2 linked regions of the Schizosaccharomyces pombe genome follow. The protein of the gene in region 1 binds, or shares a complex with, the protein of each later gene. Each region holds a gene or a part of one and is shown in the gene's direction. Other genes may lie near its edges.

What was found.
Region 2: mrp7 (region 1) and rtc6 share a complex: the UniProt entries of both Schizosaccharomyces pombe proteins name them as parts of the mitochondrial large ribosomal subunit.

What each region holds. Positions count from the first base shown.
Region 1 is NC_003423.3:2,856,415-2,864,528, reverse strand, and holds mrp7 (mitochondrial 54S ribosomal protein bL27m), read left to right. Parts: upstream 1-1,768; 5' UTR 1,769-1,904; coding exon 1,905-2,366; 3' UTR 2,367-3,050; downstream 3,051-8,114. Other genes in the region: Lid2 complex histone demethylase subunit Lid2, read right to left, coding at 1-714; morphogenesis protein Mor2, read left to right, coding at 3,289-8,114. UniProt on the Schizosaccharomyces pombe protein: Component of the mitochondrial ribosome (mitoribosome), a dedicated translation machinery responsible for the synthesis of mitochondrial genome-encoded proteins, including at least some of the essential transmembrane subunits of the mitochondrial respiratory chain.
Region 2 is NC_003423.3:1,519,530-1,522,279, reverse strand, and holds rtc6 (mitochondrial 54S ribosomal protein bL36m), read left to right. Parts: upstream 1-1,789; coding exon 1,790-2,068; 3' UTR 2,069-2,250; downstream 2,251-2,750. Other genes in the region: Lid2 complex histone demethylase H3-K36 subunit Jmj3, read right to left, coding at 1-836, 893-1,009; RNA-binding protein Yme2, read right to left, coding at 2,291-2,750. UniProt on the Schizosaccharomyces pombe protein: Component of the mitochondrial ribosome (mitoribosome), a dedicated translation machinery responsible for the synthesis of mitochondrial genome-encoded proteins, including at least some of the essential transmembrane subunits of the mitochondrial respiratory chain.

The sequences.
Region 1 (8,114 bases):
GGATTCTTGCTGAGCTGAACTACGAGTGTTTCTAATTTTCCGAGTTGAGCTCTCTGATCTTTTTGATTTGAATGATGGCGATGAATCCCTTTCAAATGGTTTGATGTATCGATCATAGCAACGAGTGAGAACCTGCCTCACTTCTTTAGTATCTTCAAGACGCAAATAGATTATGACTTTATGTAAAATTTCATTATTTAATGAAGAGCCGGAATTAGTAAACTTTGAGATTGCATTACGCAAACGCAAAAAATCAACTGGGCGATTCCCGATAATCGGTGGGTGATAAAAATATAAACCGCGACTTTCATGAAATGCTTTAAGTTTCTTAAAATAATCATAATTTTTTTCATAATTGAGACAACCTTTATTTAAACATTGGCGTTTTGACTGAAACTCAAAAGCGCCTTGATCAAGAACAACAGGTATTTGCCATCCCTCAGGTGGCAGAAGCTTAATTGCTCCATTTTTGAAAATTGTATGCCAATTATCTAACAAAAATTTAAAGGGATCAGTCATGTTCGAAGCATTCAACTGCACTGACAGTCCAGTTGAAAGTCCAAATGGCCTATTTGACGCGCGATAATTTTTGTCATTATGGTCACAATCAAATTTCAGATATGGTAATGAAAAGTTATCTCCTAGCTTTCTTATTTTCTTCTCTCTTCCTGATCCCATAGAATTATGTTCGTGCCACAAAAGCTGGCATATCATGGAAAACGGAAAAGTGCATAATCAATATACATGGAGAAATATTTAGAAATGCAACACCACCCTGTTTTAAAAATATATACCAAAAAATTTTACAACTTTTAAAAAATATTCTAATAAATTACATAAAATAAAAAACGCGTACATTGATGTATTTATCGTCGATAACACACCGTTATGGGATCGACACGACAGTATTAGGTGGAAGTAGTAGCTTAAAGCTTCAGATCGACATTAACGTAGGTACAGCTAAGCAAAACGTACTTTAATTAGTACTCCCTGTCGTGCTATGGCTGGAAGATCCACGAGAAAAAGATTTTATGCCAATTTTAAAAGTTTTTAACCTAAGGAAGTTTCCGAGTATAATCAAATCCAGTTAAAGCTTGACAATATCCTGATACATTATCCTGCGAACTAAGGCAGCACATATACTGTATAACTTGAAGCATATCGCTGTCAAGGTAGAATTTATGGTTTCTTCACAAGAAAATGAAATTTGCTGGTTCCTGCCACCAACTAGTAACACGAAGCACATCCGTTTTTATTCATAAATTTTTGCTTTGAGGAACAAAACAGTTGAAATTGCATTAAGACATCAATTAGTAGCACAGAAAAATCTATTATATGTGATTCCAGCTGCATACTTTAAAAGTTCAAGTAAAATTGAATATCATTGAGTAATAAAGACAATACAATAAAGGCTAAAACTTTGAAAAAGTTATATTTCTTTCATGCAGTCATTAATGCTGTTTGAATTGAAGAGCCAAGTGAATTTTCCATGATTAAAAAGAAGGATAGAAATTGTCGACGTAAATTTAGTGTCTTTTACTTTTTTTTTCATTAGCGATCATGCTTCCAATATAAACAAAGTAAATTGTAGGTAATGGTACTCTTTTAGCGAGATATTAGGAGTAAGGAATTTCAAACAGAAAATGTAAGGCTACACTATTGTAAAATAAGAATATTTTATACGATTACCACGACTCGTAAATTGGGATAAAGGAAATGTAAGGTAGAAACTTTCGAAGATTGGTTACAACGAATCCATCCTTTTAGTATAAACCAATATTTCGACGAAGATATAATTTTTTTAATATTTAGTATCCTTCTACATTACTAATTATTTGCCAAATCAGTTTAACACATTTTTCTTTTACAATACGTACTTCATTTGATGCAAAGTTCACCGTGCAATGATCAATCAAGGGCTTTTTATTCGTGTTAACAATTTTCAATTACTTAAAGCTAGTTTAGCTTATAAGAAAGCATCAAATATTCTCACTTTCCCTCCTATTCGTACTTCTACTAAACATGGCGGTGGTTCATCGAAAAACACAGGTGATTCTGCTGGTCGTCGTCTCGGCATAAAAAGGTCTGAAAACCAATTCGTTAGGGCTGGTGAGATCCTAATTCGACAACGTGGTACAAAATTTCATCCCGGAGATAATACCGGTCTAGGTAAAGATCACACAATATATTCTCTTGTTTCCGGATATGTTAAGTTTTTTCAAATGGATGTGTCTCTTCGCAAACGGAGGAAATACGTCGGTGTTGTTTTTGACAAAGAGACAACGTTACCAAGGCCCAAAGATGAACCTACAATTCGCCGTGTCAATAAGTATATAACTTCTGCTAATTCTGCTCAAGTTTCATGAAACCATGCGGAAACTCTCATCATCATACCTGCAATGCTCACTATTTAGAGATACTTCAAAAGGATATACTAATAATTACATGCATCAATGCCTTTGGATTTCCTTCAACTTAAGGTTGCACGAAATAACATTTTCTTCTTTTTATTATTTATTTAAACTCCCGTCACGGTCATCGTAGTTTATTACTGTCTAATGCTCAAAAATGTGAATGCATGATTAAATTTATAACTTATTTTGTTACTTTGTCTTGGGCGTATACAAGTTTGCGTATATGTCTTTCTTTTTCTACTGATTTATGCTTCTATTTTTTTCCACGCGAATAATTTGATAATTAAGCATTGTATATGTTGTTCTTAAACTTTCAAGTTTTTTCAACAAATATTTATAATTCGTTTCCAAAAAGTTAGCGTGTAAAAATCGCATTTGCCACGGTTTAAAAATCATTAAAAAAAACTGAACTTGTACCATATTATCTTTTCTGACATAGAATTCAGAAAGTTTTGACCAAACATACAGAAGGTTATTCTTTTTTTACATTTCATTTAAAAATTATTTTGGGCATTTTGAAGTTAGACTTTTAAGTATATCACCTACTATATAGTACCACACCTACTACAACGCAGTGCGTTATATTCCTTTATGTGCAAAAATTGTTGCAGTGTGCTGAGAGGTTTTATTGTTCGGAGTGCTAGCCATTACAAACTTCTAGTTTTGAATCCATTCACGCCTAAATTTTAACAATCGATTGCTAGTCAATTTGCTTACGCATGCTTAAATATAAAAACTAACGAGATAGCTTTTTTATACACTTTTTTCTTCACTTTTCTGTAGGCTAGCGGTATTGCTCTCAAACCCTTACTTTGCATACTCCTTTTCTTTGAAGTTCGTCTATTTAGTAGATAACCATATAATGCCAACCTGAATGAGCTTGAATGAAATTGCTCACGATCAACCTGTCGAAAATGGTCCTTTGTATTCTGAGAAGCAGGACCATACGGCAGTTGATTACGCGCTTCACATACTTTTCACCCAGTTTGTTCGACTCTCTGAACAAAAAATATCATTTCTTTCTCGTTATCATGCCAACGAAGGTAAGAATGCTGAACCTGTACGATTCAACGTTGGAGAGCAAGAAGCTATCCTCCTTCTTAAAAAGGGGGAAGATAATGAATTTGACAGATGTATTCAAGCTCTTGTAGCTTTAGCTAGTAGCAAACCGGTTGCCGTCATTGAATCCCTATTGTGTTGGAGAAAAGTTCGTGTTGATATTACAAGTTCAAGTGGTACTCCTCGGGTTGTTAATGAGCGGAGGAGTTCTATTTCTATCTATATACTTTGCCGTGTCTTGACTGAGATTGCTGAAACGATACCGTCAAATGCCTTAGAAGAAAGCACTGTATCTTGTTTATTAGAATGCGTTTTTCATCAGCTACTAAGCGCTAAAAATTTACCAGTTTCGTCATCCTATTTCAGTCTTGCTAATTGGGAAAGTTTTGCATTCCTTGTGGGAAGTATGTCTCGATTTAACTTCGTCATGGTATCAGATCGTTTTATTGAAGAGATTGAGCATTTGGAAAAGTCTGGCTGTGATTCCAGGCAAAAAGAAACGGTTCTTGTCCATCTCCTTAGAGCAATGCGTTATTTGCGTTTGCAGCTTTATCCAACAACTCTTTTAGAAGAGTCAATTGCTTTTTTGCAATCATTGACTTCCTTTTTCATGAAAGCCAACACAGCCTTGAAAATCGAATATGCATATCTTATGGAACAGTTGCTTCGACCATTAATCAGTCGAGCTACATTTGAGGTGAATATTCCTGCGTGGTCGCGCACCATTGAAACAATATATCCTGTAGTACTGAAAATGTGTACGAAAACTAAATACTGGAATGTTTTTTTCCCTTTTTGTTGTACACTTCTATGTCTTTCTCCCAAACAGTTCTTCCTTAAGCATTGGATATCCTCCCTTGATGCTGCTTTTTTTCGTGTTAAAGACAGACGATTAAGGAACACCGGTCTACCCCATCTTTCTCGTGTTGTATGGACTTACTCTAATCAGTATAAGGAAGAACCTTCCATAATGAATTCTAATATTTCTAATATTTTGAAATCGGGATTTTCGATTGGCAAAAAGTTTAGCGTGGTTCCATTCGCCACTTTAGAAGAATTGGATGGTTATGCACAAATTGTGCGTGTAGTCGGTGCTCATTTTCCAGAGCTTGTCATCAAAGAGATTTTAACACCTTTGTCTACTGATGCTTTTACCGAGAATATTGGCCCTGAGAAATTAATGATTGTTGTTCGGTCTGTTTATTACATTCTGCACGACATGAAGTACAAAAAATCGGATAGTACTATATTCGAATATATTGAATTTGAGTTCGTTGATTTACATGAAGTTGCCGTCGGAACTCCATTACAACAATTTGTTCATAATCTTTCGCAAAAGCTTCTATTCCTCGTTTTTCAGCTCTCCACTAATACCAACTGTTACCTTGATTCAAAAAATGCAACCAGTTTGCTTGCTTTGTACATTAATGCACTCAAAGTGTTTCCTTGTCTCATGGGAAAATTAGAACAACGTGTAATTGATGCATATGTTAAGTGTTTGAATTGTTCAAACAAAATAATCCATACTGTTTGTCATAACTCTTTGATATACTTTTCTTCTGGGCTTAAAATGTCGAAGTCAGTGATATCTTGTCTTTCTCGGAAATTGGTTAAGGGTTCAGAGTACTTGTTACGAACTTACCATGAAGTTATTAGAATTTGGATCAGTCAGCAAGAAGCAGTTATTGAAAAAAGGAATTCTGTCCTTAGTAATAAATCGTGTGCAAGTTCTGAAAGCAATACTCCTGCCTCTGTAAAACAAGATTATGATGACATTCAAAGTTGGACGATAATTGAAGAAATTCAATCACTTGGTGTACTTCATTTATCTTCACCATCAGTTGGAATCCGTAAGTTTGCAGTGGCTTTGCTTAATGATGTTAAGCAATTAAATACGGAGTATTTGATGCTTTCTTCAGATAAAGTTGAAGTTGGTGACATATATTCTGAACCGACAATTGTCGATGTTCTGAAAGATTGCGATTCTTCAATTTTGAGTGTCGAAAGTCACTTACCGACTGCTGCTGAAAGGTCACGATTGCGCAAGTTTATCAACGATGGAACCAAGGATATGCTTTTGAAACTAGCTACGTCAAACAGCGGCGTTGACATTTCAATATGGTACAATGTATTTCCTCGCTTTATAAAGGTTTGTTTTGAAAGATTTCCTACCACTATGGCATTGCTTAGAAATACTGTTTGTGAGAAACTTCCGAGTATTACTATGCAATTATTATCGCGTATTGAATCTTCGGAATTAAACTTTAACTTGAAGTCTGCTGTAAAAAATGATAATTTTCCTGAGTTTTTATTAGTTCAGTGGAAGCTGTACCTTATTGTTGCATGTTGTACAATTACATACACTTCTAACGTGGATTATTCGCACACTGACCTTAGGAGGACACTTACTGCTGTTCAATCTGGAAACCATTTACGTGGTTTACAGGAAACCATAAAGATAACTAGCGCAGAAAGTCTTTTTAGTATGGTATTGCCTCTCATTTTTACTGAATTTTCTCCTATACGTGAAGCTGTTGTTTTTGCTATTGGCTGTATAAACGTAAACGCCTTTCCACAATTAGTACGTTCTTTGAAGCCGTATATATCTGTGCTCAAACAGGATCATCAAGAGTTTATTTTTGCAGGCTTAAACTTCCCTTCTGTGAAGCGCCGTAATAAACCTGATTTGTTATTGCGATCTGAAATAGCTCACATTTTTGCAATGACATCACATCTCTTATTGCATGAGTTATTAAATGAAGACCGTGAAGCGTTGTCTGTTATATCTGAATTTTTGAAAGATTTAAAGGGATTTTTGAGTACTCCTAATGTCCAAGCAGATGAGAAGTATTTGAAATTAAGGTGCTACTTTTCTCAATTACTTGAGAAAGTATTACTGGTTCAGAATTTGCATCCGTCGTCTGAGGTTCTTCCTTTTTCGGGACGTGCTTCGTGTTGGAAATTATTGGATGAATGGACTGGATTTGGTCCTGCTCGTGCAATTACAAAAAATCGCGAAGAGCTAATGAGAGCTCATATACGCGGTAACAATAAAGATATTCGTGAGCGTGATAAGTTGTTAGCTTCATTTGAAGCTGGAAAGCAAAACCTCGAGTATTTGGCTATTAAGGCAATGATCGCGTTATGTACAGCAAAGCTACAACAGGAATTAACTGAAGGAGTGTTTTTGTTCGACATAGAGATACTGCTTAATTGGTTTACTGCTGTCTTTGGTTCTCCCTCCAAGGCTATAGTGGGGCTGGCTAGAAAAGGCCTGACCGCCTTATTATTAGAGAATAGCAGCAATGAAGTATTGCTGCAGAAGGTAATCAACCGTTGCTTTTCTAAAGAGATTTCGCAGACTATTTCTAATTACTATTTCTTGTCGCTTTCTGAAATGCTTATTCAAATAAATCCAAACAATTTGAGTAAACCAAAGCTTTTGCCCTTGTGTTTGGTAAACCTTTCCACGAATAATCTTTCGGTAAGGCTAAAAGCATTTGAGTTACTTGGAAATTTTCATCTAAATAATTTTACTATGACTGCATTGATGGAATTTAAAACATTCTTGGAATCAAGCAACCCCGCTTTATACTTGAAACCTCAATACTTATTTTCTGTACAGCTTGCTAGCGATTTTACTGAAGATTCATTCACTTTAACTTCAGAATGTTTACGTTATTTCAATTATGGTCATCAACATAGACGTGGACTGGTGACGGTTTTACTTCCGTGGCTACAAAATTTGGAGCTAAAGATGGATGTTGAAAACAAAACTTTCGATTCTTTTACGGCGGTAATTCTAATTGATTTGATTGAAGTCACTGCAAAGTTTACTAATGATTTACCTAACGAAATTGAGGCTTTATGGACCTCGTTAGCTCTTTCGCGTCACAAGTCGAACTGGACCGTAATCTTATTTTTTTTAATGCAACAGTGTTACCAAAGGAAAACTTTTTCTTTTGTTGACTGTACAAGACAGATTACTATTTATCTCGCGAAAACAGAACTTCTTTCTGATCTTTACTCTACCCTTCTGTCTTTTGTTTGTCCTGCTAATGTATCGAATGAAAACCAAGAGGTTTATAAATTTAGTCTTGAGGATTTATCTTCAACTTATGTTGCAAATTTAGAGGATTTGTTTCCCAGTGAAAAAAATCATATTTCCTACTCCCCGTGCCAGTTATCTTTACTATTATTGATGGATATTCTTCCAAATCCTTCTATAATCACAGTTACTGATGATGTGGCTACAATACTCCATGCTGCTTTTATACAATTTGATCATTATTCTCGCATAGTCCAAGAGCAATGCCAGCAGATTTTTCAGTATGTTGTACGAAAAGTTCTAGCTATGGAAGGAAGGTTAGATTATGACGACGCTTATTTTGATTTCAATGTAGAAAGCTCACTAATAACGGGCCTTCGTGGTAAAACCAAGAAGGAGGATGATTTGGTTAAATATCATAACATGATTTTGAAGACAATTGAGTTATTGAGTTCATCATATCCTGAGCTTAAACAAATATGGGGTGAGGTTGCTTTATCGTGGGCTACGACTTGTCCTTCTCGACGTTTGGCTTGTAATTCATTCCAGTTGTTTCGTTCTTTGCTTCCAGATTTTGATGCACGAATGCTTCT
Region 2 (2,750 bases), 1.3 Mb from region 1:
GAACGAAAGACAAAACGTCGTAAAACAGCGTCTCCTAGACAAAATGCACTATGATGTGTGCCTGGAAAGGTTATAAGCAGTTCATCCTGTTTAAGGACTGTTGAATAAGTAACAATACCATTTTGTACTAGAGTTGAAGGGGGAAACAAAATATTCTGGTGAAGCAAAAAATCTGAACAACGCCAATGCTCATCTTGCGCAAGCTTTCCAGCTAATTTTTTAAAAGACTCACTATGTGCTGAAGGTATCACATACCATTGCAATGAAGAGCCACCTAAATGTACCTGAACTGCATGCAGCTCAGGAGATTCTACCCGCCAAGGAAGGGTAGTTTTCCATTTCCCAGCAAATAAGTGACCAACATTTGGCCAAGTGTTAATCAATGTATTCGATCTTAAATGTACCCTATCTTTTTGAGCAGCAGATATCGAAGGTATAAAATAGAAGGGGATCGATGGGCGATTAGTATATCCATACCACAGACTGTCATGGGTCAAAGAACGCCAATAATATGCAATAGCTTTAGCCACATTGTTTTCAAAGTCATTAGAACTTCCAGCGTTTGAAGGAAACCTGTCGTCGACATTCATATCGGTAGGCTTTTTAGGACCAGCCGAGCCATGGTCTATATCGCTTTGAATCTCGAAGTACTCTCCTTTCCGTCTCACCATTCGCTCTAACCATAAATCCATTTTTACATCGGAAGGTTTCATTGTATCTTCGTTCCAAGGATTTAAAACAGAACTAGGACGAACAACTTTAATTGCGCCGTATTTCTTGCCAAGCCTTTCAACGCGCCGAATAAAACTTTCCATATCTACAAATTCTGAAATTTTCTAAACAAATTTTGTTAACATCCACAAAATATTTAATATTTTTCGCGTAAACTTACTGGTTCCACAACAGGTATGCCATCTGACCCTTCGATATGATAATCGATTTCACACTCCAAAGAACTCACTGATGTGTCACTTTTGCCAGCATGTTTCTCTTTAACATTTTGCTGCATAGCAATCTATTTTTCAGCCTTTGGATTGAATATTTTGGTGTTTTTGAGACATCCACCAATTCGTGGGATTTGCTAAATTTTCCTTTAACAATCTTTTACCAAGGCAAATGACGCATCTGCACTCCAGTTCCATACCCAAATTAGCAAAGTATAACGAACTCGTTATACCAGCAACTAAAAACATAAACAAATTCTCAAAAATTGATCATTTCAAATTAATCGATTAGCATGCCAAACCAAATAACGTAGAATCAAAGTTATTAGATGATGCGGTCAATTAGCTATTTTAGGGACTAAGAAGGTCAGAGACTCAACATTAAAATTTTCATTTGTAAACAAAAAATGGAGCTACACTGTTGAGTTGACTCCACTTTAATAAAAGTATTCCTTATTTTAAAATAATGTGATAAATTTCAGGTCAAATTGCTCCACAGTAAGCTGGCTATTGAATTTATAGAATAACAAGACATGTTGGTTGTCACTAACTGACATGTCGTAGGTTAGCTTACTAGAAGCACTAACTACTATTTATTTTCCCAACAAAGAATATCCAACAAATCGGGCGTAAGCGAGTTTATATAACTTAGTATTCACCTTTTTTTTTTATGAAAATCTTCTCTTGTTGATAGGCATTTTCTATTATCGTTCTTTTTTGGCTCAGTCCAAATTGTGAACACTTTTCCATCGTACATCATTTATTTAGCTCAGAATTACTTCGGATCCAAAAAAATTTAAACATCTTGACTTGAAGTCCCAGTTTCACTTTTTTTTTAACTTATAATGGCTTCATTAGGTCGTAAATTTTTTGCTGTGGGTGTTTTGTCACGAGTCTTCCCTTCTGCTTTTAATGCACAAAAAGGGTTGTTAAAAAATGCATCTATGTTCTTAACCCCTGCTTTCAGACTTTCTCCTAGCCTTCTACCTTGGAACTTTTCAAGAGGTTTCAAAGTGAAAGCATCAGTAAAAAAGCGTTGTTCATCCTGCTATTTTGTGCGTCGCAAAGGTAGGTTGTATGTACTATGCAAAAAACATCCGAGACATAAAACCCGTCAAGGTTAATGACTATAACCGGTTTCGCTTCTTCTTTTTTTTTCTACCTAGGCTAATTCTTCATTACGCTCACTTCATATTACGACGATTTTTGGACTACCTACCAAATCCTTACTCCCTTCTCTCTCGTTAATGCGTAGTCATTAAATGTGATATTATTGTTGACATTATAGCTTCATGCTAAAGAATTCATAAAAACATACGTAATCTTAAATGATATGCTTTCGCATCTTAGTCGATTTTTTTCAAAGCCTCAGTAAGCCTTTCTATACTTTTCTCATTATCAGTAATAACACCTTGATTTTTCTGGATACGCGTCGTTAAGTAATGAGCACGATCCTTCACACCTGATTCAAGGTTCCCAAGGTCCTTTAGCATTTGTAGCTCCTGTTCATCATTCTTGATAGCATTGTTAGCCATGCCAATTAACGCGTTACATCTCACCAACTGCATATTAGCACTTAATACTGGATCATTTACAAGTTGCCGGAAAGCCGTAACATATACAGGTTTTCCAGCGTAGACTTTATCCGGTCTTGCATTCACTGTGGTAATAGTAATCAATTCTGATTCTTCCAAGGCACGAACGGCATCGTCGTGTCCTTTGAACAGTGGGTCAAGCATCAACATATGATAGGGTATATATTCATGTTGAGATAAATAAGTAATTAAGGTCCATGACTCTTCTGGA